Linked DNA regions of Oryzias latipes. The protein of the gene in region 5 purifies or fractionates together with the protein of the main gene of each other region. This does not show direct contact. Links are inferred from orthologs where the notes say so. Each region holds a gene or a part of one and is shown on either strand. Other genes may lie near its edges.

Evidence for each region.
Region 1: the proteins of vti1b (region 5) and napa purify together in Homo sapiens (affinity purification with mass spectrometry; 3 studies listed by BioGRID and IntAct, counting the BioPlex papers as one, with this or other methods). This does not show direct contact. The link is inferred for Oryzias latipes from reciprocal best matches to the Homo sapiens genes VTI1B and NAPA.
Region 2: the proteins of vti1b (region 5) and vamp4 purify together in Homo sapiens (affinity purification with mass spectrometry; 4 studies listed by BioGRID and IntAct, counting the BioPlex papers as one, with this or other methods). This does not show direct contact. The link is inferred for Oryzias latipes from reciprocal best matches to the Homo sapiens genes VTI1B and VAMP4.
Region 3: the proteins of vti1b (region 5) and syntaxin-6 purify together in Homo sapiens (affinity purification with mass spectrometry; 3 studies listed by BioGRID and IntAct, counting the BioPlex papers as one, with this or other methods). This does not show direct contact. The link is inferred for Oryzias latipes from reciprocal best matches to the Homo sapiens genes VTI1B and STX6.
Region 4: the proteins of vti1b (region 5) and stx12 purify together in Homo sapiens (affinity purification with mass spectrometry; 3 studies listed by BioGRID and IntAct, counting the BioPlex papers as one, with this or other methods). This does not show direct contact. The link is inferred for Oryzias latipes from reciprocal best matches to the Homo sapiens genes VTI1B and STX12.

The regions. Positions count from the first base shown.
Region 1 is NC_019871.2:5,023,849-5,029,912, reverse strand, and holds part of napa (alpha-soluble NSF attachment protein), read left to right. Parts: intron 1-3,715; coding exon 3,716-3,762; intron 3,763-3,874; coding exon 3,875-3,952; intron 3,953-6,064. UniProt on the Homo sapiens protein: Required for vesicular transport between the endoplasmic reticulum and the Golgi apparatus. Together with GNA12 promotes CDH5 localization to plasma membrane.
Region 2 is NC_019862.2:3,863,915-3,870,477, reverse strand, and holds the start of vamp4 (vesicle-associated membrane protein 4), read right to left. Parts: upstream 3,997-6,563; 5' UTR 1-3,996. Other genes in the region: rangrf (ran guanine nucleotide release factor), read left to right, coding at 6,142-6,563. UniProt on the Homo sapiens protein: Involved in the pathway that functions to remove an inhibitor (probably synaptotagmin-4) of calcium-triggered exocytosis during the maturation of secretory granules.
Region 3 is NC_019862.2:1,652,604-1,658,667, reverse strand, and holds the end of syntaxin-6, read right to left. Parts: exon of another isoform or gene 4,745-6,064; intron 3,762-4,744; exon of another isoform or gene 3,670-3,761; intron 2,020-3,669; coding exon 1,925-2,019; intron 1,832-1,924; coding exon 1,755-1,831; 3' UTR 1,247-1,754; downstream 1-1,246. UniProt on the Homo sapiens protein: SNARE promoting movement of transport vesicles to target membranes. Targets endosomes to the trans-Golgi network, and may therefore function in retrograde trafficking.
Region 4 is NC_019869.2:17,749,261-17,755,858, reverse strand, and holds the start of stx12 (syntaxin-12), read left to right. Parts: upstream 1-2,190; 5' UTR 2,191-2,306; exon of another isoform or gene 2,307-2,323; intron 2,324-2,869; 5' UTR 2,870-2,908; coding exon 2,909-3,005; intron 3,006-3,450; coding exon 3,451-3,520; intron 3,521-4,319; coding exon 4,320-4,419; intron 4,420-4,878; coding exon 4,879-5,016; intron 5,017-5,446; coding exon 5,447-5,490; intron 5,491-6,598. UniProt on the Homo sapiens protein: SNARE promoting fusion of transport vesicles with target membranes. Together with SNARE STX6, promotes movement of vesicles from endosomes to the cell membrane, and may therefore function in the endocytic recycling pathway.
Region 5 is NC_019880.2:1,875,119-1,881,785, reverse strand, and holds vti1b (vesicle transport through interaction with t-SNAREs homolog 1B), read right to left. Parts: upstream 4,600-6,667; 5' UTR 4,392-4,599; coding exon 4,295-4,391; intron 3,370-4,294; exon of another isoform or gene 3,347-3,369; coding exon of another isoform or gene 3,307-3,346; coding exon 3,248-3,306; intron 2,490-3,247; coding exon 2,292-2,489; intron 2,218-2,291; coding exon 2,044-2,217; intron 1,462-2,043; coding exon 1,400-1,461; intron 874-1,399; coding exon 780-873; 3' UTR 125-779; downstream 1-124. Other genes in the region: retinol dehydrogenase 12, read left to right, coding at 5,639-5,853, 6,327-6,445. UniProt on the Homo sapiens protein: V-SNARE that mediates vesicle transport pathways through interactions with t-SNAREs on the target membrane. These interactions are proposed to mediate aspects of the specificity of vesicle trafficking and to promote fusion of the lipid bilayers.

The DNA.
Region 1 (6,064 bases), on a different chromosome or scaffold from region 5:
AACAATGTCAATAAATTAAAAATAGCAGATCACATGTGTTTGACACTTTCACTATAAATATATGCAAATATATGCTGCGGGGATGCAATATTTCATTTTAAATTGTGTAATATACAGTCTGGTTTTAATTGGATATATTGGGCATCCCCCATTTAAGAGCAGATCAGATGAAACGGGTGTTTTTAATGTTTTTTAACATGTTATTCTGACATTCTTCTGATCATGGAGGACTTTAATGAAGCAAATGTGCCATGAGAGATGGTCATGTGTACTGTGGAAAATTAATTTTTACTGATATGTAAATCTCCATGATATTAGATCTGTGTTCATCCGAACAGGCCCTGATAAAACACTGAGTAGTTAGGAATATGAAAGATCATAAATATCTGTAGCCAAAACCAAAACAGTTGTAGGGATATTACTGGAAAATGATTGGTTCCTCTGGGTTTTTTTTAATGCACAACTACCTCCATTTCCACTGTCTCCTCCTTTCCTGCATCAACCTGATATAATTTGTCTGACGGGCTTAGAGGAATACTGTGGGAATCTTATTTAGCAATAACAGGTACCTGTTGTTGCTGGGGGGGGGGCTAAAACTCCCATGGAGGATGGAGGAGTTGAGCTGCAGGCAGATGTGAGTTGTAGGGCCTATATATCATGCTATTGTTACGCCTTTCAGAGTAAACTTTATCCATATATGTGATCATATATTACCTTTGGCACACTAAAGAATTATTTTTTTGATGAAATATGATGTATTTTCACGGCTCTTTTTCCTACTGGAAGTAAGAATTAAGGAATTCATATTTTTTATTAATTTCCTTCTATATTCTTTCCCATGAAATTTAACGTTCGGTGTGTGAAGTCCTGACTTTACAATTGTTAGGAGTTTGATGGCTAACTAACCATCTGGTTCAGTCAGTAGTTCTTTATTTTGCTGGTGACATGATTGGACTTGTTGTCATGCTACAGGTCAACTCACACATTCCACCTTCATCATCGCTCCAGGAAAAGAATGTAAACGTTTCCATCAGCGTTGCAGATGCATCCTTTCACGTTTGGTGTCGTTTACATGCTATGCCCATTTACATCCTTATCCTCCAGTCCTGTAGCCACTGACTTTTAACTCTCATAATGTGCCACCCTTTTGTGTTCTTATTGGATCTGTGACTCTGTCTTTTGTTTTGTCCTGTTTTATGTTTCCTGCCTAGGGACTATGGATGCAAATTAGCATCATTGCTATAATCCAGCATGTTTACGCCTATCATTGTTTGATAGATGTTCATTAATGTGCACTGTCCCTATTAAATAAATAAAAATAGACATCTATTTTTCGTCTACACATTAACTAGATCAACCTCAGGTCCTTGGGTTGCTGTCAAGTGTTTATCAAAAACTTGACATTTCTAGGTTTTACACCTGCAAAAAAAAAAAATATATATATAGAAATGGCTTTGATGTGATACAGAACTTGCTTCCTCGAATATATGACAGGTTGCTTTGAATATGCAAACATTGGAGAACGTGGGCCTTCACGCCTTTCCTAAAACAAAAAAAACAAAAAGAATATGCAGACCAGGGATGATGTTGGGATGATTCAGTTGTTGGTCATATCTGATTCAGAAGGATGCTTTCTGTTGGAACGAAGACTGATTATCAGTGTTCAGCATTTTTAGTGAAGTGATTGATTGATTGTGTTCTTAGAAACAAACTGACTCTATTTGTCAGAATAACCATTCTTGCTCTAATACCTTTTTTTTTTTTAAACATGTTCTTGATAATAATAGGACACTGTACAAAACAAAGTTCAAAAATAAACATTAAAAGTAGGGCTGCACGATATGAGGAAAACTCGCGATATGCGATATTAGTGATCAATATTGCGATGACGATATAACTTGCGATAAATGAACCACTAGCAAAAACAACAAAAACATTTCTATTTCCCTGCAAATGTTTAATTTAAATAAGAGTAAAAATACCTTAAATTATTCTCCAAATGACCCTGATCTAATTAGCAGGGCAACATCTAACGTAAGAGCTCCATCCTATTGGTCAAATGCCTAAAGGGATTTATTCAATTCATTAAATAGTTAAAGTTGCCATAAGATTGTTTTAGCACATTTAAAGTTTACCATTTATTGCAAATTTTCGCTGACTTTTGCGATCTGGATATTGCACAGCTTGAAATCGCGATAACAATAAATTTGCGATTAATTGTGCAGGCCTAATTAAAAGCACAATAAATGGAAATTGGCAACTGATAACCCTTTCTATGGTATTTGTCTGTGTAGTTTATGTTATTCCAAGTAATAAACTATTACTTATTTGATGCTTATTTAGATGCTTCAATAAAAGGAGGAGCCTGCTGGCCCCCACGTCCAACATTTCAAATGTTTGACAGATTTTGTGCAGCGTGCTGCAGACTCCCGATTGGTAGTTGGCTAAAAAATGTGGATTCAGTCCGACTCGGACCAATCACCGCTTACAGACGGCTCCAATATGGCGATCCCCATATTTCGAAAAAATTGACCTAATTTTGTCGGATTTAGAAGTGAACCAACTAGTACGGGCGACGTGGCACTCGCTAGGTCCAGGTTTCAGATGCAGCCACTGATTCTAACACGGTGAACTATGCCACAACAGCTGGAACTTGTCTTCCTGTGGGCCATGGCAAATAATGAGGAAACGACGATGTGAAATTCACACAAACTTAGCTTTTAACCCTCCTATGAGTTCAGGCCTGAGGATCACAAACCCCAAAACATTTTTCCCCTGACGTGAGAGCTTTAAGAAGACATTTCAGTATTTTAAACATTTTTCTACTGGCTGGCTCGATCATCTTTTGATCTATTGTCAAAGCGTTCCCAGTGGGTTATTTTACTTATGATTATGCCGTTTTTAGCCAAAATTATTTCTAGGACATAGTTTCCTTTGAAATTCTTCTCTGACTGTTGGCGTGGAGCAACCCCCTTTCCCGTCACCCGTGACTGAGAGCTTTCTGTTTATACGTTCTTCTGCTATCTGTCAGCCTCTCACACCCTCAACTTAACATGACGAGTGCAACAAAAGTGGCGAGCAATGTTGGAGCCATCCAGCCGTACAGTTTTGATCCAGATTCCAGATCAGACGAGGAAAACAAAGACATTCGTGGATCTATGTGTCTGCAAGTGGATGCATCAGGATGAAGTGGAGCAATATTCAAATGCAATTTTAATCTTAATTTCATTTATATATGTCCTCCTTCATCAGAAAAATGCCACAAGAAACCACAGACTTCAGCTGTTTGTTTCATTTTCTTTTAATATACAGTCTTAAATTGGGATTTTGAGTGTTCTTTAAAAAGGTATTAAAGATCCTTAAATTCTCTTTTGTAAATCTGTAGACTCCCTATTCTAATTCAAAAGGTGGTTTGCAGCAGGAGACGCTCTGCCTGTCCATGTCTGCTGCGATTTGACAGAGTATTCAGATCAACTGAGTGGTTAAACATTTAACCGGTCCCTTAATTTGCGTGCAAAAGCAACACAATAAGAAATGTTATCCCTCTGGACTGAGGAAACTTTTATATTTTCAAGCTTGGCGGTTTAGAAACAGCTTAAAGAGACGGCTCTGGTTTCCTTTTATTTTTCAACATGAGACCATTAAACCCCAGTTTTGTTTTTTTCTTTCCACCAGTTTATATTTTACCTTTTATTTTTGTTTGTTTTCTCCACAGAGGCCATAAACTGCTTAAACCGAGCAATCGAGATTTACACCGACATGGTGAGTTTCAAAGCTGCAAGCTCACTTAAAATGGGAAGAAAAAAAAAAAATCATAGGATGTGCTCCTTTTTTATTTATTTATATTTTTACAGTTGACTTTTTACCATTTTAGGGCCGTTTCACTATTGCAGCAAAGCACCACATCACCATTGCTGAGATTTATGAGACCGAGCTGTTGGACATCGATAAGGTCAGATTACAGAATATGTTTGTTTTATTTCTTAAAAAAGTGTTTGCAAAATAAGTCTGTCTTGACAAACAAGTGTAAGTAAAATAAATAAATACAAATAAAAACATCTGTAGAAACTGTTCCTGGCAACAGAAATATTTCAAGAAATTACCATTAAAGTACCAAGAATTTATTTTAAAGTATAAAATACGTATTTTTTGGAGAATAGGTCATGGTGGGTTTTTTGTGCGTAGTTTGGCTGGAGGTGTGATTTATGTGATATTTTTGAAATGAATAGCAACAACCACTAGAGGGCGCTATAGGCGTGCCAGTACTTGCCACTGATGGAAACGCAGAAGAAGAAGCACCACTCAGTTTTACTCCAGACCAAAGCGACGCAAAGGATGAAAAATTGAACAGATTTAGAGATTTAAAGTGATTTGAAGAGATTAGCAGACTTGTCGGCATGTTTTTTATGATATGGTTGATGAAATATCCATTCTTGGTTAATTAAGAGTCATATATATGTATATAAATATTTGCACATACACTTTTATTTTGCCAAACATATACGAATCGTTGCATTTTATCTTCTAAAAGACGTAAATGTTTAATTTTCTAATTAAATAAATCAAATTTGAAGAGAAAATAAATATTTAAACAACTTTTTCGTTGCGAAATTATTTTTTTTTACATTTTTATTTACCTTTTTCTTCTTTTCAATTGTTCTTTTGATTTACACTCTATTTGAACTCTCCACTGCGGCGTGCAGTTGCCCAGTTTCAGGGTGGACACTCTACCTCCGTGCCGGTGTTTGAACCCTGTATTCACAAGTGTTGCACAGCTTAATGAAACCAGTAGAAATGTTAAACACAGTCCTGTCATCCACACTCTTAGAATTTTTTTTTTTTTTTTTTTTTTTTTAAAGTTGTAAAAATGAAAAGCATCTGGGTTTTACTATTTTCTGCATTTAAAAGATGACTCTTGAAAAAGAAAAATGTTCACCTTAAACCTCTATGCGTTATTGAGCACAACATGAGAGAAATAATGTGAACCTTCGGCTTTAATCATCAAATCAAATCAAAACTTTATTTATAAAGCACTTTGCATATAAAAATACAACACAAAGTGCTTTACATTAAAACACAACAAAATATAAAAACAAGCATGACGATTAAAATAAACAAGCACAAAAATTAAAAAATAGGGCCCCCCTCCCCGTACCAAGCACCCCACTCCTTTCACTCCTCCCACCCCCTAACTGATGGGGAAAGACAATGAGAAATCATGACTGTTTCAGTGCAGCAACCTTCTTTCTGGTGTGAACCGCTCTCCTGATGTCACACTTCTATGGAGCCAAAATAGTCTCACCTCATTTGTGTGTGAGCAATCCTTGATTTGTAACTTGTGTCTGCATGTTTGTGTGTAACTTTGGATTTGTGTGTGTGGGCGTAATCCTTGATTTGTAACTTGCATCCAGGTTCAAATTTCTTGTTTGTTTTTTTTTGTTTTGTGTCTTTTGTTGACGTGTCTTCTCTGGACTCTTCAGGCGTCCTGCTTACCTCGTTGAGCGTTCTGGACTCTTACAGGGACACCAAGACTTTGAGCTGAACTCTGTCTGCAGACGGTCTTTTGCAACTTTGCTACGGTGGTGGCTACGGTTCTAAACCTTAGGTTATCCAAGAGCTCTTTTGTGTGAGACGTCCAACAATGCAAACGCAGGACTGTGTTTTTATAGTGCAGGGCAGTGCTTAGAGCAGCCATGAAGCTGCGGGTTCACACACGTATCCCGTCCCACCGCATGGGGGATGTTGACACTTGTTTTAGTGGTTTTTGCTTGATCAGATGGTGTTATGACTTTGATCATTATCCAACTGCATTTTGTGTTGTAATCATTGACTGTTTACAGGAATTGGCCTAAGTAATCCCTCCCCCCTGGCATTCAAAACAGGAAGTACCTCCTGGTTCCTAGAAGCCAAAATCCCGTAGAAATAAACAGTCATTCTATTAGTAATTAACTGCTCTTTTACCTTTTTCAATCCTTTTTTTTTCTCTGTAGTGCAGGTTAATCACGTTGTAAACTGGCCAATCAGATGCTTCAATGAAAGCGTGTGGTACTTACTGACCCCCCCC
Region 2 (6,563 bases), on a different chromosome or scaffold from region 5:
AAAAGGTACCAATGTTTCAGTCTGCGCTGGGATAAGGAGGGCCAACCTACCCGAGCATACAGAAGACAGTGATGGGTTAGTGACCTCATGTTTGTTATAAAACGCAGTGCACCATGAAAAACAGTATCCAAAGCATGCAAAGCATCAGCAGAAGCATTCATATAAACCACATCACCAAAATCAAGGACAGACATAAAAGTAGCAGTGACAAGTTTCTTACGGGCTTCGAATGATAAACATGATTTGATTCTGAAATAAAAGCGTAATTTTAGTTTCAGCCTATGAGCCAGTTTCTGAATATGTGGTTTAAAAGTTAGACAATCATCAATTAAAATACCAAGGTATTTGTATTCTGTGACCAGTTCAATTAAATGCCCTTCTTTTGTAGTAATTGGGAGCAGGTTTTTGAGTTTGGCTTTGCTTTTAGAGAATAGCATGTATTTAGTCTTATTTGAGTTTAAAACCAGTTTTAAATGATAAAAAGTGTTCTGCAGTTGATTAAAAGCTGATTGGAGCTTTGATATGGCAAGCTCAACTGAAAGTGCTGAAGTGTACAAGATGGTATCATCAGCATATAAGTGCAGGTTATCGATGATACCTTTATCAAGGTCGTTTATATAGATTGTAAAAAGCAGTGGCCCAAGAATCGAGCCTTGTGGAACCCCTGCGGATACTTTTAAAAATTTTGATTTTTGGTTCTGAACCTTTACACACTGTGTCCTGTCAGACAGGTAGTTTGCAAACCACCCAACAGAATGCTCTGACAGCCCAATACTGCGCAGTTTATTTTTAAGCACAGCATGGTCCACAGTATCAAAGGCTTTAGAGAGGTCGATGAAAAGGGCGGCACAGTGGCGTTTGTCATCCAGAGATTCAGATATGTCATTTAAAACTTTAAGAGCTGCGGTTGTTGTGCTGTGTTGCTTTCTAAAACCTGATTGTGATGGGCTTAAAATATTATTTGAAATGAGAAATTCTTTTAATTGTACGCTTATAAGACCTTCCAAAACTTTTGCCAAAATGGGTAACTTGGAAATTGGTCTATAGTTATTCAAATTTGTTGGGTCACCACCTTTAAGTAGAGGTAACACATAAGCGGACTTCCAAGCATGCGGAATGGTGTTTGTGGACAAAGACAAATTAAATAAATAGGTCAGTGGAAGTGCGATAGAGTCTGCTGCCGCTTTTATAAAATATGGTTCCAGATCATCAGGACCAGCAGATTTAGTAGGATCAAGGAGTTTAAGGGCTTCTGAGACTTCTGAAGTTGTGAAGAGGGAAAATGAGAAATTATGTATTAAATCTTCGTGATTCACAGGGAGGGAGTACTCAGCTGAATGTTTTATAGAATTAAATAATGATCCAGAGGAAACAAAATGCTCATTAAAACATAAAAGCATCTCTGTCTTGTCTGTTATATTACAAGTGTTTTTCATTATACTTGAAGGGAGCTCAATACCTGAATTATTTTCATTTAGGGACTTAACTATCTTCCAAAACTTTGAGGGATTATTTAAATTTTCTGTAGTATTTTTCAAAAAATGGTCAGATTTCACATTTCGAATTGCAGTAGTGCAAGCATTGCGTAGTTTTCTGAATGCCAGCCAGTCAGATGCATTATCAGAATGTCTAGCTTTTGCCCATGCTACATTCCTTTCATGTAGTTGGTTAGCCAAATCTGAGCTAAACCACGGATTATTACGACCTTTCACTTTATAGTGCCTGATAGGAGCATGTCTATCAAGGATTTTTGTAAATTCATTATGGAAATAACTCCAGGCCCTTTCAACATTATCAATTTCCATCATCGTGTGCCAGTCAAATTCATATAGTTCTTGACAAAAGGATTGTTCACAAAATTGCTTGACATTGCGTTTTATGATAATGTGTGGTTTGGTTTTGGGCATTTTTGTGTTTCTCGATGTAGCAATGATACAGTGATCACTTATATCATTTGCAAATACAGCAGCAGTTGAATACTTTGAAGGAGAATTTGTAAGAATCAAATCAATTAGCGAGGATTTCTCCGGAAATTTGGGGTTAGGTCGAGTAGGATCATTTACTAATTGAAAGAGGTTCAGGGAATCACAGTAAGATTTAAAATCATCAGAAACAGCTTGCAACCAGTTCCAGTTTAAATCTCCAATTATTACAACTTCATTGTATTTTAAGGAAGACAGCAGTTCCATTAAAGAGGGAAGAGCAGAGCCATCAGCAGAGGGCGCTCTATAGCAACCAACTAGGGTAATATGCAGAGAATTAGAGATCTCCAGATCAAGAGCTAAAAGTTCAAATTTCTTTGCCATTGATGTTTGCAGAAGAACTTTTGCATTAAGTTTAGTTTTGATATAGATGGCTATACCTCCCCCCCTTTTGGGACGATCAGCCCTAAAAACATTATAACCATTGATATGTATGTCAAAGTCAGTTATTGATTTGTTTAACCATGTTTCAGAAACAACAATTACATCTGCTTCAGTTGAAATTGCCCAAATGCGTATCATATCCATTTTAGGCAATAAACTCCTTACATTGAGATGAATGAATCCAAGACCATTACGAGATTTGAAGTCTTCAGGAGTACTAAAAGTAGGACTATCTGGTCCAGGGTTTGGTGGAATATTCCCGGAGATTAACAACAATAAGAAGATGAGGCGTCTTTGAAGTTGTGGTTTCTTACATACTGCATTTGAAGGTCCTAGAGATGGGAACGTTTTTAAGAATGCTATAGTAGAGTTTATAGTAAAATTCTTCTGAAGAACCATTACACAGCTGAGGTGCAGCAGTTCATTTGGATTGTCTGAGAGACACACAGATGCGTATGCATTATGACATTCATGAATAAAAGTTTTTGTTCCAGCATGAAATACACAACACACTGGATTCACTGGACGGGAGTCATCTGACTCCCGAAGAGCTACGGCAATGCCAAAGTCTCCGATGGAATATAAGGCCAATGTTAGCAGGAAGAATATTTCAGCCCTTGATATTATTTGCCGGGGGCTTTGAAGGAAGGTATTTAAAACTTTGGCCATGGCAGCCTTCAGTCCAGATATCTGCCAGAATCCAGTTCGGGATACACCGAGAGCCGTTTTTTTTTTTTTTTTTTTTTTTTTTGTTTTGTTTTGTTTTTTGTCAGACGTCCTCCCGTGACGTGCCACACAAACAGCAAGGAACACGGAGCTTGAAAGCTGCGGGCAAAAAGAGCGAAATTACTGCCCAAGCTTAGTTCAACTTTAAATGGGTATAGATCACACGATCCGAGGGTTGAATCAAGCACTTTCCTTCACACAAAGATAGCAAGCTCATCAACCAGCCAAGCGCTCCTGGATCTGCTTCGGATAGGGCATATCACACAGGTGCTAGGAAGGCAGGACGGCATCAGCATCTCAACTTTGGCAAAAATATATACAATAGTGCGCCAGCTTCGATAGAAGGTAAATTGGGACTTCCCTTAATTGATGAAGTATAAGGCCCGTCAAGGTTAGTCACGCCAGGAATCCAGCGACGATCACCCGGTGATAATCTTCATGATGACCGCATACAGTTCATGATCGTCGAAAAAATAAAAAATAAAAATAAAAAAAATAAAAATAAAAAATGGAGCGTTCCTTCGAATATCAGTGAACCAACCCTGGTTTTGGGTCTTAATGAATCGAGTAGGCTTTGACTCACAGAGTTTCGGAGCTAGCCTTTCTAAAAACAAGCACGGTAATTGATAAACAAAATACCATTCTCAGAAAGGCCAGAAACAACTATAAATTATAATCTAAAATAGCTTAAAAGTCGTTAAGAAAAAATAAAAATAAACTCATTCATTCACAGGACGCTAACAGACAGACAGAGTGCGTGCTGCCATCTTGGCGTCTCGACCTGTGCACCAAATAAAAATAGGACGCCCAGACATGGATAACCAGGGGGGTATTCCAGGGAGCATATTAAAACTACCCTGACTTTAATCCTGAACTCTGGCTGAAATCCGCCTGAACTTGCTTACTCTGGGTATGTTGGTTCCAAAAGACCGGATATGAGTTAGCGTAATTACGCTCGACTTGGTAACCCTGGGTTAATGCACGTGCACAGCAAGTACATAAAGACATTCTCAATGGATCACCGATTTCCGGAGTCACCATGGAAACGCGTGGTGAAAAAAAGAGAGCGCTACAATTCAGTGAGACGGAGTCTGAGATTAATGACGGCGTATGAAGATTATAAACCCATCAAAAAAGTAACACGGCTGCATCATCAAAAGAAAAAAGGAAAAAAAAGAGTTTCTGCTTGCAGAAAAATAACGGACAAAGTAAAAGCAATAGTTTCTGATCTTATTTCTATTATTCTTGTGACGCATATATATATATAACTTATCCAACTTAAATGAATTACTTATTACTTTATTCAACCTAATTTCTTACGTCTATCCAACTCAATATTTCTTTTTACAACTCAAATTTACATATTTATCTAACTAAATATCATATTACTCCAGTTTAATTAAATGTTTTTCAATCTTAATTTATTGCAATTCTTGAACTCTCCTATGTCTAAGAGGCTGCAGATTTTCTCATTTTTATAACAATAAAATGAATGAAACAAAATGGAACCACATTATGAAGTCTGTTCTCTGACTTAAATATTCCTCCACTGGGCAGTAAAGGTTCTAAATAAACTCGTGATCCTCTTCCTCCCTCTCCCTCATGGTGCTGAAAGAATTAAACATAACAGGGTAAAATAACTTGGTAAAACACATTAAAACAGCTAAACAACTAAACACATTTTGTCAAAAAACCACACTTGAACCCAAATCCGTCCAGACAGGCAAAGTGAATGGTATCCCACAATCCCTTGCGGTGCCGATCTAACAGCAGCACCAAAGTTACACCTACTTAATTGAATTAATTTGAATGAAAGTAAAATAACTGATAACTACGTGTTATTTTTAAGCTGACTTAAAAATGATTTCTCTTAACTGAAGCACATAATTAAGTTAGATCAAAGTAAAAAAGTTTATCTTTCCAACATCCATATGTGGTCTTATCACCATTTCACTGTGGAAAAAGTATTATCTGAGCTTCTTCATCCACTAAATCATCTTCAAATGGACACGCCATGCTGCTTCACCTCTCTGAAAACAAACTAACCTTCAACTAAACCTGCTCCAGACCAGGTTATGTTCAGAGCATGAGTTGCCATGGCAACTTGACATACCCTGAAACATACCTCTGTTTTTGGAACTGAAAGCTGAGGTTATCAACTTCCTTAGCCTCAAACTTACTGTGGTAGCTCACATAACCTGCTTTCTGGAACAGGGCCCTGGGCTTTCAGTAGTGCTACGTCTGAATCACTCAACACCGCATAAACTATTTTACGATGCAGAAACGAGCTTTGCGTTGCGTATTGATAATTCCTGTAGCCATGATAAATGCCTCTAAATAAACTGAATAAACAAAATCGTAAACAAATCTCTTTTTTTGCAACTACAGAAAGTAAAAAGCATTGAAAATAACACGTGAATAATTAACACGATTCAGATATTTTTAGGCCTTCAGAGAAGGCCTTGACGACCCACCACTGGACAAACGTCATCATCTGATCAGTGATGATCTAAATTACCAACCTTTCTTCTTTTGTTTCATTTTTCAACATTTTATGTTGTTTTCTAAAACTTTTTTTTTCATTCATTCTTTTCCTTTGCCGTTTTTCCCTCTCGGGGTCACTATCCCGGCCACTTGTGTGTGAAGGCATGGGATGTCCTGGACAGGTCGCCAGTCTGTCGCAGGGTAGAATTTTCTAAAAAAAAAAAAATGTTTTAAATAAGCTTTGGTTTCAGGATTTGTTGTGGTTTCTAAAATCGATTGTTGTTTTTTTGTTATCTGTTTTCTATATTTGTTGTTGTTATGATCTTTAATATGTTTTTGTGTTGATTTGTTGGTGATTTCCCCTTTAGGGCAAAGTCTTCTGACCTGCGAGAGCCCCACCATTAAACAAACGGGCAAGATATGTTACTCCCTTCCTGACCTGTAGGGGGCAGCAGAGTGCGTCTCCAGTCTTCTGTGAAAGAAAGAAGAAGTAGAAAGTGCCTAGGAGCGGGCGTTCGACTCGTTTGCGTGTTTGTACGGTCCTATCCTTCCTTTTCCTGCATCCATGCAGACCGCAGGCGGCGGTACTCGTCCTCTCTTCGGGGGGTCCATGTCCGCTGTCTTCCCCTCAAACGCCACGGATGTCAGCGTCTTTAGAGACATTCCGGACAACCAGGAGGTGTTCGCGCATGCTCACACGGACCAGAGCCTGATCGTGGAGCTGGTGGAGTACCAGGCCGACGTGGCCGATCCGGACGCTGCCAGGTTCCACCTGGAGGACATCGCAGGCAGCAACGGGGCTGTGGGCGCTTCCGAGGTGACCGGCGTGCTGGAGCTGCCCAGAGCGGAGCTGTCTCTGGTGGAGTGCAGCTCCGCGTGGAAGGCAACGGGCGCGCAGCGCGTCGCCAAGTTCAACGAGGAGACCCGGAACGCGGTGACCGTACACCTGGGCGTGTTCCGTCTGCCGCAGTTCTCCACGGACGTCCT
Region 3 (6,064 bases), on a different chromosome or scaffold from region 5:
AAATCATGGTCTAAAATCAGATCATTAATGATAAAAGACTTATTTAAAAGTGATCTGACATTTAAAAGAACCACCTTCATGGTTGTGGGTACTATCTGATGTGTGCATGTCATGGGTTTTGTAACTGATGTGTGAATTGGTCGGAGACATCTAACATGCGAGAGACGTGGACATGAATGGAAATGATTTGAATGTCTATTGGTGATGCGATCTGGTATGTGATGCTGTATGGCAGAGAATGATGAGTCAGGGGTGTGGGTGTCCTGGTTCAACCGTCAGCTGGGAATGGTTTTGAAAGAACGGAGGGTGAGATCAATGTTCATGCTGAGCAGACGGGAACCACTATTGTTGGGGTGTAAACCGTCTGATTTAAAGAGGTATGGTCTATTGTAAAAAGTTGTGAAATTATCAACATATGGAATGCTCATGGAATGACGGTATGTTTTTAACCAAATGTGAAGCTGACGGACGCGTGAGAACATGATGTCTCCATAACGGGGTGCAGGCAGTGGTGCAGATATGATACAGTTCATGTTTAACTGTTGGATGGTGTGAATCAGATGGATGACGTCTGTTTTCAGAGTCTCTGATTGCTGCAGTTTCAGGTTGTTGGTGCCTGCATGTATGATGAAAGTCTCCGCAGAGGGGTGTTTAACAGAGTTGGTGAGCAGAGTTTGTAATGTCATTGACGACAGCTCCAGAGAGAGAGTGTGTGTGGCACCTGCTGACCCGGACACGCCGGACAACAGAGTCTCCCATGATGACCACGGGCTGCTGCACAGGTCCGGGTCTCCCAGCGGGTCTCCCCGCGACAGCAGCGGGGGGGTGAAGAGCAGTGGCCTCCGCTCCAGCAACTCTTCGCTCCAGAAGGATAACTTTCAAACGGTCTGTCAAGATCTTCCCCTAAAAACCTGCTTCAATATTCCGAGGAGCTTTTTAGAGAGAAAAATGCTGAGCAAAGGGAGAACTGCAGCAGTTTGGACATTTTCTCCCCAAAGTTTCCTCACAGTGATGTGGAGACTGGTCCACCTGGACCACACAGCTGCATGGGCAGGCAACTTAATGCCTTTATTCTCATTCTGCATCATTTTGTCAAATACGTTTTTGGATCATTTTAAGGTTTGTAATTGGTCATCTCTGATTGTACTTAGTTAATAATACTTAAAAATTACTACAATTACAACTTTTGCTCTCAGCAGACACACATACACACACACATATACACACAAAATACGTCCACATTCCCATGACATGTTTTAAATTGAAAAACAAAGAAGGATACAAAGGGACACAAAGTGTTGTCGCATTTTGTTGTCAGTACTGGAAAAAGGGTTACAAAATGAAAAAGATGACCAAATAAACACTTTTTTGTCATGTATTGAAGAACAACTTAAAAACAAAGTGCTACAAACAACGTCTAAGCAAAACCACGATACAAGGAAAGGTAGTGTCAACGGGTCAGATTAGCCCACCCAACAAAGCTACTGAAACTCCAAACCAGGTCATTCTTGAAAACTGGGCTGTGCTTTTTTTCTGAAGTAACAAGTATTTGTCAGCATTTATGAACATGTTACAGTTGACTTTGTTACATTTAATTCTCAGTTAGACTGCTAAAATGAGGAAAATGAACACTTCCTGGTTATGACGGACCACGATACATGAATCCTTTTACAGCTTTCAGTCACGCTCAGTCCGGTCCGGTACAGCAACACCCGGGCCAGTCAAGTAGAAAACATAAGACTTGGAGTTTTTTCTCAAAGGATGAAGAAGAGGAGGACGACAACCAGAAGAATAGCAAGCAGAATGCCAATGGCGCACCACTGTCTGCGATCTGCAACAACAGGAAGGCAGCAGAGTCTTTCATTGACAACCAACCATGTGTGAAGCAGCACCGCTGTATCTGGTTGCCGGGCAGATCTCTTACCACTGGTCATATGTGACACCTTGGCCAGTTTCTTCATGACATTGTCCAGTCTTGAATGTGTGTTGTCCATCTCATGGCTGAAATCATCCAGCATTCTGCGGTAGGAACCACACAGACGCACACATCAACAGCAGCAGCAGACATCTGGTTTTACTTTCACGTTTCATCAGAATACAAACGCTGCCATACCATAATATACAGCAGGGCAAACAGGGACCTTTAGACACCACGACCATGTCACAGTACTGTTCCTCTCCGTCTCTGATTCTCCTCCACAGGTGAACCGGAGACAGAGGGTTATGGTTAGCCAGGACGCTGTAGCTTCTTCATGATGCTGTGACCATGGTTGGTTCTTCAATTATCACGGCTCCTGACTTAAATGCTGGCTGATTGCTGAAAAGAAGGCTTTTATAAAGCTATTTTAAGATAAAGTGGATAAAAAGTTTCATCTAATCTCATTTTAAAATCAACTTTATCAGTCATGTCATGAACAGACATTTATGTTCGTAGTTCAAGTAAAAATGTACTAAAGTACGAGTACATGCACAGCCTGTTACACCTCTGTGCAGCAGCAGTTCAGCACACTAAACATGAGCGGGATATTTACCCCCCCAGAGGGTCACTAGTGTTAAACAAAATTCTAATTCACCTCTTAGCTTACATTTATTCATTCCACTGTCATCAACACAACAATGTCCCATCCCATCCCATCCATCCTGCCCTTTCAAAATAAGAGCACATATGTGCAATTACCATAAAACAAATAAAGAAGTATTTGTTATTTAACAGTCCCTGCCTTTATAGCTCAAACTCACCTTCTTTTTTATTTTTTTTTTATTTTTTTTTTTTTTTAACTTGTCCTGTCCAACAGCTGGGCAAACAGATGAGAGCTGAGGGCCTCTTGTGTTGGACATATTTTACTTTAACAAGAGGGGTTATAAATCTTCTGACAAACCAGAGGTATGTCTGAATAAACCCCTTTTGTAATCGAGGCCGAACTTTATTAATTTCAATCATATTTGAAAAACTTGTGTGTTGGACCGGACGGAAAAGGAAAGAAGGGAAGAAGAGAGAGGGATGTTAGAGGTTAGAGAGGGGGGGGGTGATTAAAGGAGGGGGGGGGGGTGAGACCATAAAGCGGCATAAAGCAACAAGTTACTGGATGTTTATCATTACAGTAAGGTTCAGATAGAATACAAATCTCAAAAGGCGGGGCCTGTCCACACGCACACTCAAATGTTATCAACACACCTGTTAGCTGTAAAAATGTCCACCTGTCAACATGTACACAAAACAGATAGTGTTCACACACGCATACCTATGACTTCAAACCAACTAGTGTGAAATTATATTTCATTCGACACGCAAACTATTAGTGCAAAGGTGAGCTAACACCTGTGCTCAGGTGAGTGTTTGTGTTCTTCCAAAATGGACGGTGGAATGTGAAAAGAAGAGGGAGAGTGCCCAGCCACCCCCACACCAAGACCCCCGCCACAGCAGCAGCGGCAGCCAGAATCCTCCAACGCCACACATCCCCCCCGGGCGACCACATCCGCCACCCAGGCCAGGACCAGCAGGACCGCCGCGAGGCCCCCAGAGCCAGAGAGCAGGGAGGCATGGGGGGAAAGAAAGTGCTGCCCCACCCCAACCAGGAGAGCAGCCCCCCCACCGCGCCAGGAGGGCCCAACACCGGGCCCCGCCCCAGAGGGGTGCCCACAGATCCAGACGAGCCTTTTTTTTTTTTAACAACACTGAATTTGCTGTTGCTGCATTTAACATGAACTAAGTTCCGCTTGTCCTTCACTCGGGGCTTCAGGTAACTAGCATGCAGATGCACCTTTTGGAGGAGTCCAAGACAACTGATCCGTGTTAAGAAAATAACTAATGGGGCATGTATGGTTAGATTTCTGATGTAAACTGTGCTATAGCACCCCCCCCCCCCCTCGTAAATCTGAAGCACTCCTGAAAAAGCTGCAGTTCCCCAGAACTAAATCAGCTTTCAGTTAAATATAGTGTTAAAATAAGACGTTAAAAATATATATTTACCGTCTTGTCTGAAAGATCTTTTGTGCTTTATTTTTTGTAAAATCACTGAAGTTGATTTTATGAAGGCCTTCCTTTCTGTATTGTTTTTTGTTTTTAGATGGACTCAACAAAACTCCCTCTTTACTCTGTCAGGCCCACCATTCAGACAGCTGTAACATGTTGTTTTGTTTAGAATAAGTATTCCTTGTTAGGGAATCGTGACACGTGACATTATCCCACTGATGTCTTTGCTGCTATTAAAAAACAAACCAAACCTTTCCAGACCAAATGTGTTCCTGTGGAGGGGATGCTTTCTAAAGGATAATCATTCATTATGTGTGCAAACAGCTGAACAGTAAAGATCATCTTTTTAGTTTAGGGGTCTGTTATGCTGCCCAGCGTCAGGCCACCATTCTCTCCAGATGTGATGAGTTCTACTTTTAAAATCTTTGAGGGCTGTACTTGGAGGAGCCATTGGTCTTCAACTATTTCAATGAACTACCAGACTGACCAAACCGAAGGGAACCAGACCACCGTGCTGCAGACGTTTGGGGTTCCTCCCAAAGCGAGTTCACATCTGAGGTGTGGCGGAGGCTTACCCTGACCATATGTCTGGTGCTGGTGATGAAGGCCTTCCTCTTTGACAGCTCCGCTGCATCCAGATTAAACTTCTTTGGGTTTGACTCTACTATGCGTTTGCAATGTGTTAAGGAACATGCTTTCTCTGTGCTGAGCTCCAATCCCAGAACCCCAAAAACAGGGAGGTGTAAAGAGAGTGAGCCTTAACAGATGCACCTTTTGGTAAAGCAGTCTGCAAGTTGTTCTTTCACGTTGTACCACAACACTCGCTCAACTCTGCTTGGATGAGTTGGCACTTTTTTCCAGACAGACTTCAGTGCGTCAGCCAGTGAATCTGTGACACAGATTATGGGTGGAGCGTGTTCAGTCGTTGGTTCAGAGAACAGTGTTGCTGCAAACGGTGCATTGTCAGTTCCATCAGACATTGCCAGTGTTTCTCCAGCAGGTGTGCTCCTCACAATTCTGTTCACTCTCTTTGAGGGGGAGCGGTGAAAACTTTCCACGTTCTCCCATTAGAACTATCAGGTTTCCTTCTTGAGTGGCTCCATCTGAAAGATTGCCAAATGAGGCATCACTGAACACCCTCATCTTGAGGGCTGAGTCCCTGCCTAGAAGCTCAAAGTTCAGAGCCACCTCACTGGATTTCAGTTTGCACACCGTTCTATTCGTTTCATGGATTTAAAGCATCAAACAAGACTTTTGGTCGACTCTGCCTTGCAACCCAGAGAATTTGTCCAATCTTGGGCGTGAGCAGATCTTTTTCTTTTGCTGACAGAGATGAGTCTTGCTGTACTCAGCAAGCACAGCATCCAAGAGACACTAAATCTATTCACACATAACAAAATGCTCATACTGCATCCGGAAGATCCCTCTTGTATGTACACATTTGAGTATACCGCTGTTCAAAATCAATTATCTAATCCGTCACGGATACATTACTGTCTCTCGTTATCCAAACTTGAGTAGGTCCGGTCTTTGTTCTTTGAGAAACCGATCATCTAGCTTTATTAGTGACGTGTCCTGTGTCCTTGAGCAAATCCTCCTTTGATATTTCTATCGCCACGTCTCTCGCTTGCCCAGAAGAAAGCGCCAAAGGAACGGAGAGTGCTTGCTTCTTCTTTTCAAGGTCTGTAACTCGGGTCCAACTTATTTTTTCCAACTTTTGTACGGTTTTCCTTCGTCAAAGGTTTGTAGGACTCTGTAGTTGCTAATCATCCCCTGCTACCAATGTTAAACAAAATTGAAATTCACTTCGCAGCGTAACGTTTTCTTTATTCATTCCACCATCATCAACACAACAACGACCCATCCCATCCAACCGGCCCTTTCACAATAAGAACATGATGTGCAATTACCATAAAACAAGAAATTTGTTATTTAACAGTTCCTGTCTTTATAGCTTAACAACTAGAATTTGGCAAAGAAGGACCAAAACCAGATTTTGATGAGCCCTTTTTCCACAACGGCATCGTGAGAGGGGCAAAATTGTAATTATTTTTCCCTTATTTGATTGTGGCAACAATTTAACTTTGTGGC
Region 4 (6,598 bases), on a different chromosome or scaffold from region 5:
GCTTCTAAGTCATGGATGTAATCCAAAGCCTCATCCAGAGCACATGTGAAGATAAAGAAATTAAAAATCAGTCTTAATATATTTATGCTACCTTTCAACACAACACAGTAATCATGTTTTGAAAAGTATGTTAAGTATTTAATTACAAATACATTTAATTTATTTTTGTTAAGGAAATTACAAAATGACAAAATGCTCAAAAGTGATTAAATACATGTAATTAAAATAGGTGAGAGCATGAACATCTTTTATTATAAATATTAATTTTTTCAGGTAGAAATGCATTTATCCAATAACGGTACACATAGTTGACTAACGTTAACCAAACACATTATGAACAACCTTACCTGTGTCACGTAGTCCTGATCCATCTTTACTGCCTTAGCTTAGCCACCGTATGCTAGTATCTTCACAGCATAGCTGCATAGACTGACGTTTGAGGTTCTGTCATATACTGACTCCCTTCTCAAAGGAGCAGTAAAGTTTTTCCAAGGGAAAATACTCCGGACGACACCACTCTTCAGGCGACGAACGACGCAGCCGCACCCCATCCGGAGCGAAGTTAGTAAGTGCCGGCAGCAGAGGGTGCTACCTGTGTTTACATTAAAACTATGCCCTTCATCTCTTCGCATCGCCTATATCCATTTGGGTTTCAGGTTTGGATCCACAGGAAAATAATGAAATGAAAAGTAAGGCTGTTTTTGGTAGGAAGACGAACAGCCTGGAACGCAACAGAGACTGCAACTCTTCGACTCTGCCATTCTTCATATCTGCTGCTACGCTAACAGGAAGTTGTTTTACACGTCATTGACGTATTTCCGGTCGAAAAATGCGGAAGTGTGAAAAAGGTCTATTACCACAGGCACCACTGTCACCTTCACTTTCCAGGCTTTCTCCAGTTCTTCTCTGAGTCTCTGGTATTTCTCCAGTTTCTCATGTTCCTTCTTCCTGATGTTCCCATCACTTGGCACTGCCACATCCACCACAACGGCTTTCCTCTGTTCTTTATCCACCACTACAATGTCTGGTTGGTTCGCCATTACCATCCTGTCAGTCAGTATCTGGAAGTCCCACAGGATCTTTGCCCTTTCATTCTCTATCACCTTCAGAGGTGTTTCTCTTTTTGACTTTGAGGTTTCCAGTTCATATTCTGCACACGTGTTTCTGTATATTATTCCAGCCACTTGATAATGGCACTCCATGTATGTTTTCCCTTGCAGCATCTTCAACCCCGCAGTTATGGTGTAAATGGCGTACACTTACAGTATATAGCGCTTTTCTACCTACAAGGCCCAAAGCGGTTTACAAACACAGACCCATTCACACACTGGTGGCGGCAGATTTATAACTGTAAACAATAAATCCTTGTTTATTTCTGAATAATGGTGTGTGTTTTGTCTATGACTTGATGCGTACTGATGGAATGCTGTTATCATACAATGGGTTTGTAACTAAATACAAAATTAAGGATTCTAGTAACTGTTATAGCAAAGTCTGTTAAGCAATTACCATACCTTTACTTAATCTTATTCATAACATATTACAATACAATGCAATCAAACCACAATTTCCAGAATTAATGGAAAAGTTAATGATATTCCCCTAAAAGATAAAAAAGGCAACAATAAACTCTAACCTTTAAACAAATAATTTTCTGCAACTTTAGCATAAACAATGAACGCGACTTAGAAACCACCCTAATGGACAAATCTTTTTCTTTATACACAAAGTACCCACTTCCACCTAAAATGAAAGAAACGCATTTTAAAATAATATCTAAAATTTACCCTGTTGGAGATTTTTTACATAAAAGATTCAAATTTCAATCAGAACCACGCATATTCTGTTCATCTGAAACTGAAACGTAGAACATCTCTTTTACAGTTGCAAAAATATTTTGGACTGATATTCACAGTTGGTTGTCACTCAAAGTTTTAAATATTCCCTTTTTTTCCTTATCTGATGTTCTTTTCTATATGAAAAATCTGGACCCGGGAATTTCTTTTTTTTCTATATGCGCATTTATAACGTTTGTTCACCCTTACTTGGTCTGTATGAGCATTTAAAAAAAACAAAACAACAAAAAACAACGTCATACCGAAATGTCACATACCAGGAAGTCGAATGCTCAGTTTTGATTGGTGGCTCACTGGACCCGGGCACGCTACAGCGTTTTGATTGGTGGTTTGGTTTCAAATGCGTGACCTGATTGGTTGTCAGAGGAAGTAGGGCTCGGTGATCTCAGCTGAATCCGGAACCAAGCCCTGATCGAAGGGCGAGAATTTGTTTCTTCAGCTGAATCATATGCAAGTATAAAATAAACGTCAGTTACCTTGTTTCGTAGTTTCAAATGTCGATTAAACGCTATTTTAAATATGCAACGCAACGATTTCATCGTTTATAATCTAACGCTTAGAAGTTAGCACGTTTAGCTAACACGTTAGCATCGTTCCGCTACGTGTTGTTGGGAATGTCACTCTGTGATGTAAAATTCCGTTAGCAGAACGTCGCTCTGGTAACATTGTTGTGGTTATACTATCAATATGTTAACGTTGCGGCTTCATGTTTGTCTATAAGTCAACATCTGCTGGTTAGTTAAATAAGCGTACGGGTCTTATGGTGTGCGTCATGTCAAAAAAAAAAAGCAGCGAAATCCTAACAGTTCTGTATATACTTTACTAGTCTGTATTATAATTTTGTGTGATGATTTTAATAAATGTCAGCTTTTTAGTCTGTGCGTTTTAGTAAGTTTTGAAGCGTGATTGCATTCTCCCTCCGACCTACATTTGGAGTTTTAGATTGAATTATTCATGTTAAATAACAGTTTGTGGCCTTTTTCAAATTTCCTTTTCTTTTTTTGCATGCACAGTTTTAGCTCAACATCAAAGCCAAGCCTTCCGCCTCAAACATGTCCTACGGTAAAGCGGAGTTCCGCCCTGTCCCGAGGGACTTTGGCTCCCTTATTCAGACATGCAGCTCCAACATCCAGAAGATCACACAGAACAGTGAGTCCTCCATTGCTGGGAGCTGAGACTCATTGTTAGTCACTGGCTCAGGAAGAAGTCATGTGAGAATGCTTACAAGAATCGTGATGATCTGCTGCTTAACTCAGGCCTGTTCAGGGGGGGAGATCCAGGTTAAGCAATCACATGGCTAATTCATCACAAGTGCTTCAGGAAAATACACTATTCTAAATGTTCAGGTTTGCTTCCTTTTTGAGATGTGTACAGTAAATAAGTGCTTACATTCTTTGGTACAAAACTCACAAATTAAGTTGCATTTTCTGCTGTCTATACAAGAATGGACACTAAACTATTTCTTAGCTCGTTTGCTTCTGCGGTTTGGATTGGTTTTTGTGTTTTTTTCTGTGTTGTTGTTTGATATCTGTGCACACAGATGATCCCTGAGTAAAGGTTTTGGAGATTAAGATTGTTTCTGTTTTCCTGACAGCCGCACAGATTAAGACCATGGTGAACCAGCAAGGGACAAGGCAAGACTCCAGTGAACTTCACGATCGTCTGTATGTCATCATTTCTTGTTTCATTTTTTTCTACCAGTTTTAATGAAAACACAGGCAGATGGAGGTTTTCTAGCTGGTTAACATCTGATGCAAATATCAGTGTTATCTTTGTTGGTAATAACCTCCTAATGAGGCTGAATATGAGACCAACACTGATGCAATTATTCAATAAGGCACCCTGACTTATGTTTAAGACAATATGAAAAAAAAAACTAACACAGCCAGTTTGCTTTACATGCATTTCTTGCACACACTGTTGTTAATCATATGTATTGAGAAGTAAAACCTTTAAAATTGTTATAATTCAGGCTTTTTGGTGACAAAATTTGGTTTCAGCTACAAAACCTACATCTACTGACCCAGGAGTCCTCCTGCTTTGCACATTTAAGTGATGCTGTGAGACCAGGAAGAGGTTAAATGACTGTTGCTGGTGGTTGTGGAGTAAACTTCAATAATCTCTTTTGTCTTCTGCGACTAAATGAATGTGTCACACTTTTTGATGGCGTGTTTTCACTTTGCAAAGAATTTTAAAATTTTGATTTATTTCAGAGCTGGTAGAAAAGCTCTATTATTTGATTTAAAAAAAAATACTAAGAAAATTAAAAATTTCAAGCTTTATTTGAATTGAATTGACAATAAAAGCAATTTACAGATGCATTAACAGTAGTGCATTACACATTGAGTGTGCTTTAGTGTGGAGCAGAATGGCTGGGACTGTAATAGCCTGAATCTGGGAAGCAGCTTCTTCTTGTGGCTGATGTTCAGTCCTGTTTTTATTGATGCACAGTTTTCTCTGCAGGCAGCAGATCCAGCACTACACTAACCAGCTTGCGAAGGAAACCAACAAACACCTTAAAGAACTAGGCTCTGTCCCTGCGCCTCTATCCCCCTCTGAACAGGTAAGTGGGAGTTTGTTGAAACGTCTGCATGAAGACCAAATCCTGAGTTTTTACCAAAACTGTCTCCCCTGACTGCAGTATTCCAAACACGGTGTGCAGCAGTACTTCAAAGTATTTTTGCAGCAGAAAGGTTTAACTGGAGGGAGATGGTTTGCTGTTGTGACCTCTGAAGTGATCAGATATTAGTAAAAGAAGGCGATTCTTGTAGTTGAGATTTGCTAATTTTTTGTTTTGTAAATTTTAAGCAGGAGATGAAAGCCGAGTTTATGTATAAACGATACAGAGGAAGCAGGGATTTTTCCTGAAAATCTTTAGGAAAAAATAGGAGTTAAGTTACAATGTTGCTGCTTGAATGTTGGAAAGTGATTGTCAGGATTGAACTTTAAAATCTTAACCGTTATCTAAATGCTTTTTTAAAAAGTGTCTCCTAATGTGCTTTGGGTGCTCTGCTCTGTCCAGAGGCAGCAGAAGATTCAGAGAGACCGGCTCATGAGTGATTTCTCTGCGGCGCTCAACAACTTCCAGGCGGTTCAGCGACACGCAGCCGAGAAAGAGCGGGAGTCCATAGCCAGAGCCAGAGCGGGATCCCGCCTCTCAGTGAGTGAGACTCAGGAATGGATTCACACAACACCAGGAAAAGTGTGGAAAACAACCACAATATTCCTTATTTTTCCTTTTACCTGTTAATCATCAGCATTTTTTCTCCTACTTAGGATTTTAATTGTCCTATTTTGAAAAGTCCCATAACTTATCTGATGATTCATCTAATCCAAATCCAGTTGTGTATTATTGTGACTATTTGAAGTCATGAAAGGTAGAAAAATCTTGTTTTATCAGAGCTGTAAAAATTTTAACATCCACAAATGAAATGAAAAGTTTAGACATGCTGTGATTTAGCAGTTTGGGGTGAAGACAATGGTTTTGTTTGTAGGAACAGTCTAAATGACATAAAACCACCCGTGTTTCTTAAGGGATGTTGTTTCTTCAACCTGCTGACTTAACTGGAGTCTTTGTGTTCTGTTTCCAGAATGAAGATGGTTTTCGGGATGAAAAGCTGGTTTCTTTTGATAAGTAAGTGACTTTCCTTCTCTCAGGGTTTACCTGTAGAAGGACACTTCTATACCCAAAATCTACATGATGACTTAATCATTTCAGACGTCAGAAAACAAGTTCATCTTTCTGAAGTTTTCAATGTCAGAACACCATTTCTTTAAATAAATGTTCTGTCAGGAAACCTTTTTATTCCTTTATGTGACATAAATAAAACTGTTGCACAAAGGATCTGATTTACTGTAACAAATCCAGTCCAGTTTTTCCTACAGGAACACATCCAAATGTTGAAATTCTTCCATCACCTCCACTCATCCATGAAATAAAAAGACTAGATATGATTGGATGAATGAAAACGTTGGTGCTGTGATGAGGATTTGCTGCGTTAGAGTTTGAAAGAAGAAAGAGAATGTTGCAAAATGTCATTTAATCCAATAGAAATCGAGTTATTAGTGGAAGAGACCATTAAAATGATTGTTTATATCTAAAAATGTACGAGAAAGAATTTGATAATTTGTTTAAAACAAGACTTTATGGATCCTGAAGTAGAAGATGTACTAAATGGTTTTCTAACATTCTTTAGAGATCTGAAGACACTGTTGTTGTTGAGTTTCTCCCTTAAAGAATTTGCTTAATAGTTTTCATCCAACAGACTCCTTATTAAACATTTAGCTCTAGAGTAAAGCCTACAAAAGACTCCCAGCTCTCTATATTAGTTAGTTTAGCCTCTTTAAGTCGGCTACTCTGCACCAGACGACGCTCAGAAGATATGAAACATTTAGCTACAAACATGAAATGAACCTCAATCTGCTTGAAAATCATTACTGTTGAATTTCCAGGTTAACACCAAGATATGTATGAGCCTCTACCTCAGCTCCCAAGTAAAAAGTGAAAGTGGGGTTTATTGCACCACTGCACCTACAAAAAAATCCCCACAATGACTGAATTTGGAATTGTAGTCCATAAAACGAGAACCTCTAACATTCCTGAATATTTTAACAAGAACAAAAGAATCACTCAGGTCACCTTGACTTCATCCTTACAGCAGTACCGTCAGCCTCTTGTGTGTTCATTTTTGTAATGCATAACATACAGATGTACTAAATATAGATGGAAAACAACCACTGCA
Region 5 (6,667 bases):
CTTTCACGCATTTCTGAGTATTCTTCTAAAAACCTGAGCGCCACCCACACGGAGCGAAAGGCGGAGCCTCCAAGATCGAGTCTTATTTCCAGGTAGAATGAATATTTCATTAAAATACGTGTTCTTTAGTGTGCCAAAGGTCATTTATTGTCACATGGATGTAGTTTACACAGAAAAGCTTCAGAAAAGCAGGATATAGGCCATCTAAATTGGAAATATCTTCCTTTGGGGAACAGCCTCTAGTGGTCAATTGAGGAACTGCAACAGTTGATTTTTCCACATCTTTTGAGGAGGAATATTCTGGTTTTTCCACAGCAACGTTCTTTAGATATAACACCAAACAGATGAGTAGCAGGTTAGCTTTAATGGAGCCAACTAAGCACTGAACAGGAAGTGGTGTTATTTATGTGTAGGTAAAGGAAATGGCATACCGTATAGATTAGGTCCTCGTTTTACATTTAGAGCAAAAGAAAATTTGGCCACATGTGTAAGAGGTCAGAAATACTTCTCAGGGTTATTTCTACTACTGTGAGCGTTCTGGCTTCATCTCAGGCCTTCAAAGCCAAACAGAGAAATTTCTTGACCTCGAAACCTTTGACCCCGTGACCTTCAGAAAACCCCTGGCAAGAGCAAACGTCCCTCTGAGGAGCTTCTGTGAGGTCAAAGGAGGTGCTTCTCTAGTCAGACGTCTTCAGGAAGGGCCTGGTCTCAGAGCGGACTCGCTCACACCAACAGGATTATTGCTACAGGGCAGAAGCTCCTCCTCTCCAGACGCTCCCTCACTTCCGGAAGAACTTCAGGTAGATCACGGCGCCCAGGATGGCGAGCTCCATTAGAATGATGACAGCCAGGAGCAGCTTGTTTGTCATGAGCCTGCAGGACAGAGAGGAAGACCCTCCTCATCATCGGTGGATTTAAGCGTTTATTTGATTATTGTATATGCGAACTGGTCTAAGTGACTCCTCCTCCCTGGCGTTCCAAACAGGAAGTGCCCGCGGCCTCTAAGACGCCAAAATCCCATAAACTTCTACAGCTGTTGACATTCCCGGGGCGGACACTCTACCACGCGTGACCTTCTTGTGTTATGAGCAGTTCTTGCTTTACCCATAATACTCTGCTTCAATAAAACGATTGTCCTCGCTCCGCTGAGAGTGAACACGCCCTCGTTCTCAGACGTTCAGGTGTGCTTCCACACCTGAGGGCTGTCTGAGGGAGACTTTTTATAGTCTGGATCCAAAGCCTGTTCTTCTTCCTGTTCTCCAACTCTTGACTGTGTTCATGTTTATGTGCTTTTATGTTTTTTTAAAGTACTGTACATAAATGCTGGGCACAAAGGGGGCGTGGCCCTTTTGACTGACACGTGACCCTTTGAATCAACCCGAGTGGTGGGTGAGCTTACCGCCGAGACATGGCCCGCAGAACTTTCCTACTTCGACTCAGGTTCTCTCCCGTGTTCACCAACTGAACAGAGGAAGAAACGAAACGAGTGACGCGGGAGAAGGAAAGGAGGAGGAGGAGGAGGAGGAGGAGGAGGAGGAAGAGGAAGAGGAAGAGGAAGAGGAGGAGGAAGAGAAGGAGAAGGAGGAAAGGAGGAGGAGGAGGAAAGGAGGAGGAGGAACACGAGGAGGAGGAAGAAGAGAAGGAGGAGGAGAAGGAGGAAAGGAGGAGGAGGAGGAAAGGAGGAGGAGGAGGAAAGGAGGAGGAGGAACACGAGGAGGAGGAGGACAAAGAGGAGGAGGAGAAGGAAAGGAGGAGAAGGAAAGGAGGAGGAGGAAAGGAGGAGGAGGAGGAGGAGGAGGAGGAGGAAGAGGAAGAGGAGGAGGAAGAGGAAGAGAAGGAGAAGGAGGAAAGGAGGAGGAGGAGGAAAGGAGGAGGAGGAACACGAGGAGGAGGAAGAAGAGGAGGACAAAGAGGAGGAGGAGAAGGAAAGGAGGAGGAGGAAAGGAGCAGGAGGACAAAGAGGAGGAGGAGAAGGAAAGGAGGAGAAGGAAAGGAGGAGGAGGAAAGGAGGAGGAGGAAAGGAGGAGGAGGCGGCGGCCTCACTCTGTCTCTGGTTCGGTCCAGCTGCTCCCTCTGCCCCCCCAGCTCTTCGATGATGTCTGTACCGATCTGCTCCGTCTCCACGGCGATGCGCTGGCTGCGCTCGATGCTCTGCGTGGCGTTGTTCAGGTAGTCCGTCCCCTGAAGCAGCAGCGACCTCTGCGACTGCAGGTGTGTCTGCACCCCCCAGGGACAAACAGGAAGTCAGGAGGTTTCCAGAACACCTGTGAGGCGTGAAGGTCCACACTCACACTCTGCTGGTTCTCGGGTGAATAGAGGCCCTGGCGGTCGCCGTGAGACGTCAGGGGGGCGGGGCCGAAGCCGGGAGCAAAGGTTTTCATGTCCCTCTGCAGTTTGCCGATGTCTCTGCGGTACAGACGCAGCTTGGTGCTCATGGCGTTTCTGTAGGACGCCGGCGCCGCACGGAGCTCGTCCTCCATGCCCTGCAACTGTGAGAGAAAATCCAAGTCCATTTGATCAAAAAGATGGATTTTAGCGTCTGAAACGACTATAGAAACGCCGACAAGGTTCAAGAAAAATGGAATTATTAACTCTTCAGTTAAAAAAGAAATTACACCTGAGACATGGCAACCATTAATGGATTATTTCTATAGACAAGTCAACCTCTACTTGAACATTTAATTGTAAAATCTGCAGGGTATTTGTTTGTTTTGTTGTTCTTTGCTTTTCTTTTTTTTGGTATTGTTTGCTGTAAAAAATAAAAATAAAAAAGAGGGGAAAAAACAATAAAACATTTTTTTCTTTTATTTCAAATGAATGAAAAGAACAAAAAGAAATTTAAAATAGAAAACTAAACTTAAAGCTGCATGCAAACCATGTAACCATAATCACACTGTTCATTTCAAATAAATGTAAAAACAGTATGAAAAAAAGAAATTAAAGGTTAATCAGCTGATAAACGCACAATGACTTCATGTGAAACTAGAAGCTCGTTTTCCCTCCAACAGGAAGAGATGAACAAAATTTGATCAAATATTCTTATTTTTGTGTGTGAAACGCAACCAAATATTTGAACTTTGACTTCAAGTCTTCGCTGGTTCTTGACTGTAGCACCAAAAACCCCAGTTTGATTTTTTCAAAGCCTTTTTTAAAAATTAATATTTAATAATGAATGTGCCATCTGTTGTGTTTAACCGCAAAATGACTCCATGAATGTGAGCCGTCAGGAAGGAGGACATCTGCTTACCACCTCCTCAGCCTCTCCCTGCCGCTCATCGAAGCTCCTCACCAGCCTCTTCCTCTCCTCTGCAGACCAGAGCACACAGGTTACAGAGGCTCCTTCCATCCATCCATCCTTTCAAACACCCACTGCCATGAAAACGATGGGGGACATGTATAACATGTAGCTTATAACTGCCTTTCTGAGTAATTCTTTATTCAAATCGTTGTGAATCGGGAGCGGACGGAAAAAAAAGCAGTTTGAAAAACGTATATTTGCGATGTGTTGCACCTGTAACGTCAGGTTGAGGGTGTGAGAGGCTGTAAGCAGGAGAGCGTGTAAACAGACGGGTGACGGGAAGTGGGGGTGGGCTTACTCCTGCCGACAGTCCCGCCCACAACTCTGACGCAAATTTCTAACAAACTGCTGTCCTAGAAAACGACACAGCTTCTTGGCTAAATAAAAAAAAACATGATCATAATTTAAGACGACTTTGGAAATAGATCAAAAGATGATCAGAGTGAGATTTTGTTAGTTTTATTCATTCATAACCCAGGAGACGTACAGTAAATAATAAAGACCATTACCTTGTACATCAATTATAAACACCAGAGGGATAAATATACAAAAATAAAGTTATATGAAATGACAAACCTGAGCAAAATGACAAGTATGAATTGCTTCTTTGTTTGTATTGGGGGAAATGGATTGTTAGTAAAATCTAATTTAAGTCGATCAATCAAAACAATTGGGAGCTTTATTGCTAAATTTAGTTTTGTGAATAAAATACTTAGTAAAATCAGGAGATTCGTTAAATCAAATTAAGACGAATGTTTATTATCATAATTAATGAAACCAAATAAGATGTTTTTTCCATGCAAGTCCCAAAAAATATGCATCAACAACGTTTCCTCAAATGAAAACAGAAAGAACAGTTTTTCTGTTTTTAGCCTTTGCATAAACTGATTTGTTGGATGAAACCTATGAATGATCTTGAATGAAACCTCTTTCACTTTGTTTTTTAGTGAGATTTTAAGAACACAATGAGCAACAAAGAACATGATCCTCGTTTACCTCCGTGACATTTCGCGGCTCTGTCAGGAATTAACTTCAGCTCCTCGTACAAAGATCTGTAGATTTCCTGCAACTTCTCGAATTCCTCCGACGACATTTCTCAGGGATCAACCCGGATAGTTCCTCCTGAATACAGTTATTATTGCTCCTCCTGAATATAGATATATTCAAGAGTCTTAAAAGGTTTTTTTGTAGGTGGAAAGGTTAAGATAATCTGTTTGTTTTGCTTCCTTCATCATCAGAACCCGGGATTCTTCCGCATGATGGTCCTCGTGACCAAAAGGACTAAAATTCCGTAAAAGAATGAAATAATCGGTTGTGTTTTACACATTTAAAAATTAAAATAGTGTTAAAGATACCATTTTAAATTTATTTTTTATGAACTGTATCACACAATATTGCTTATCGGAATTTTAAAAGGGAAAAGAGTAAAGATTTCTAGTCAGGCAGTTAAATAGACACCTAACATTGGCTCCAGGGGAAATTGGGAAGTGTAGTTTATTGATTTCGTTAAACAGAAGAGTTCTAAATTGAATCTTTAGTTACAAGAAAGAAAATGTTTTGATTTAAATTTATGTGTACAATTAAAATTAAATTAGATGCGATTTCTATAATTCAATTTTTGCAACTGATTCAAATAGGCCTACTGGTATATGTGTTACTCAACTTACTATTATTTTAATAAATAAAAGGATATTTGTAAAAATAAAATAAAACCTTCACTACAAATTGAGTTTTTGTGCTGAAAATGCATTTTTAGTTTTTAAAAAGTTAATATTATTTGAATGTTTTATCTTATTTTGTTCGAGGACAACGTATAATAATGCAATAGATATTCTAAATAAATGTTATACAGAAATAACCAGAGGCAGCTTTCAGTTTTATGAAGTGATAACGGCAACTTAAATGGTAATTGATTCTAGTGATAATAATAATAATTGTTCAAATGATAATAAATCATATAAATGTATATACATTTATTTAAATTTTTTTTGCAAAATATAAGGCTGTGGGAGGATTTAGATTTAGCTGTTGTGTTTATATGTTTTTGTCTTTTTTTCCAATTTCTTTTACAAAATTCAATCTACAATAATTGACATTTTTCCATGTTTTACTTCGAATTCTGGCATTACATTTCTTAAATTAAACTATAGTTTTGTATTCCTTTATAATGAACCGTTTCTCACTCATCCTTTACGATTTTTCTTACTGTTTTTTAAACACATTTAGTTTGTATATATATCTTTTGGCATTCATTCTAATCTTTCCTGCTGCTACGTGAAATTAAAAAACAACATTTTTTTTGTATTTGACCTCCAATGTAAAGGACTACAAAACACAACAATGACTACAATCCCACAATCCTTTGCACGTGCGCTCTCGGTGCCGCTGCGCCCCTCCAGCCCTGACATCAGCTGCTCAGCCCCGCTCTGCCCACACATCCCTGACGTCCGGCCGGAGGCAGAGGCCCGTGGAAGCGCTCAGATGTGGGTCTTGGTGATCATCGCGGGGATCGGGGTGGTGACGCTGCTGCTGCTGCTGTTCGCTCCGCACATACGGTGAGCTGCAGCGGGGACCCGCTGTCCCCCCATCGCGGTACCTGCACTGCTGTGACGTCATCAGCACGGAGGCTGGCTTTGCTTTTTAACCCCAGAGGTGTTTATTTGAGTCAGCCGCTTTGATTTCGGTGTGAGTTTTGTCTCAAATCCGCTAAACGGTGACGGAATTTTGAGTGAATCAGAAAAACGTTTGAGCACCGGGATGAGGCGGCCGCCTTCCGTCTGAGCTGCTCGGGCCTATCAGGTGCCCGCACGTGGGAGGAGTCCAATTAATATGCGTAAGCGGAGCGGGGCCATTGGGTGCGGGGCGGGCCCGTTCGGTGGCGTGGGTCGCTCGACCCGACGATCCGCGCCGTTCCGCCAAGTTTGTCCATGAATAATTAACCCGTGTGGCTCAGAGAAATCACTCGTTCAGACGGAAACCGTGCCGTGCCGCTCCGGGTTGGGTTAAAACAGCTGTCTCTGTTGAACAGAAGATATGCAGCTGGAGCCGCGTGCAGGACCGCGAGCCGCCTGGACGGGAAGACGGTACTCATCACCGGAGCCAACACCGGCATCGGGAAGGAGACCGCGCTGGACCTGGCCCTGAGAGGTGAGTAGGGTCCGAGGAGACCCGGGTGCTGTCCAAGTCCTATTAGTGGTCTCACTGCATCAACATGTCACCCCTCACAATCCAAAGAAAGTGTCTATGACCAGACCGTGGATTCAGACCCACAACCTCCCAGTCTCAGGGCAGACACTACACTGGTGGTACATTTAATTTAACCAGATTACCTCATTTCAGACAAAACTCTTGATTTTACATCATTTTATG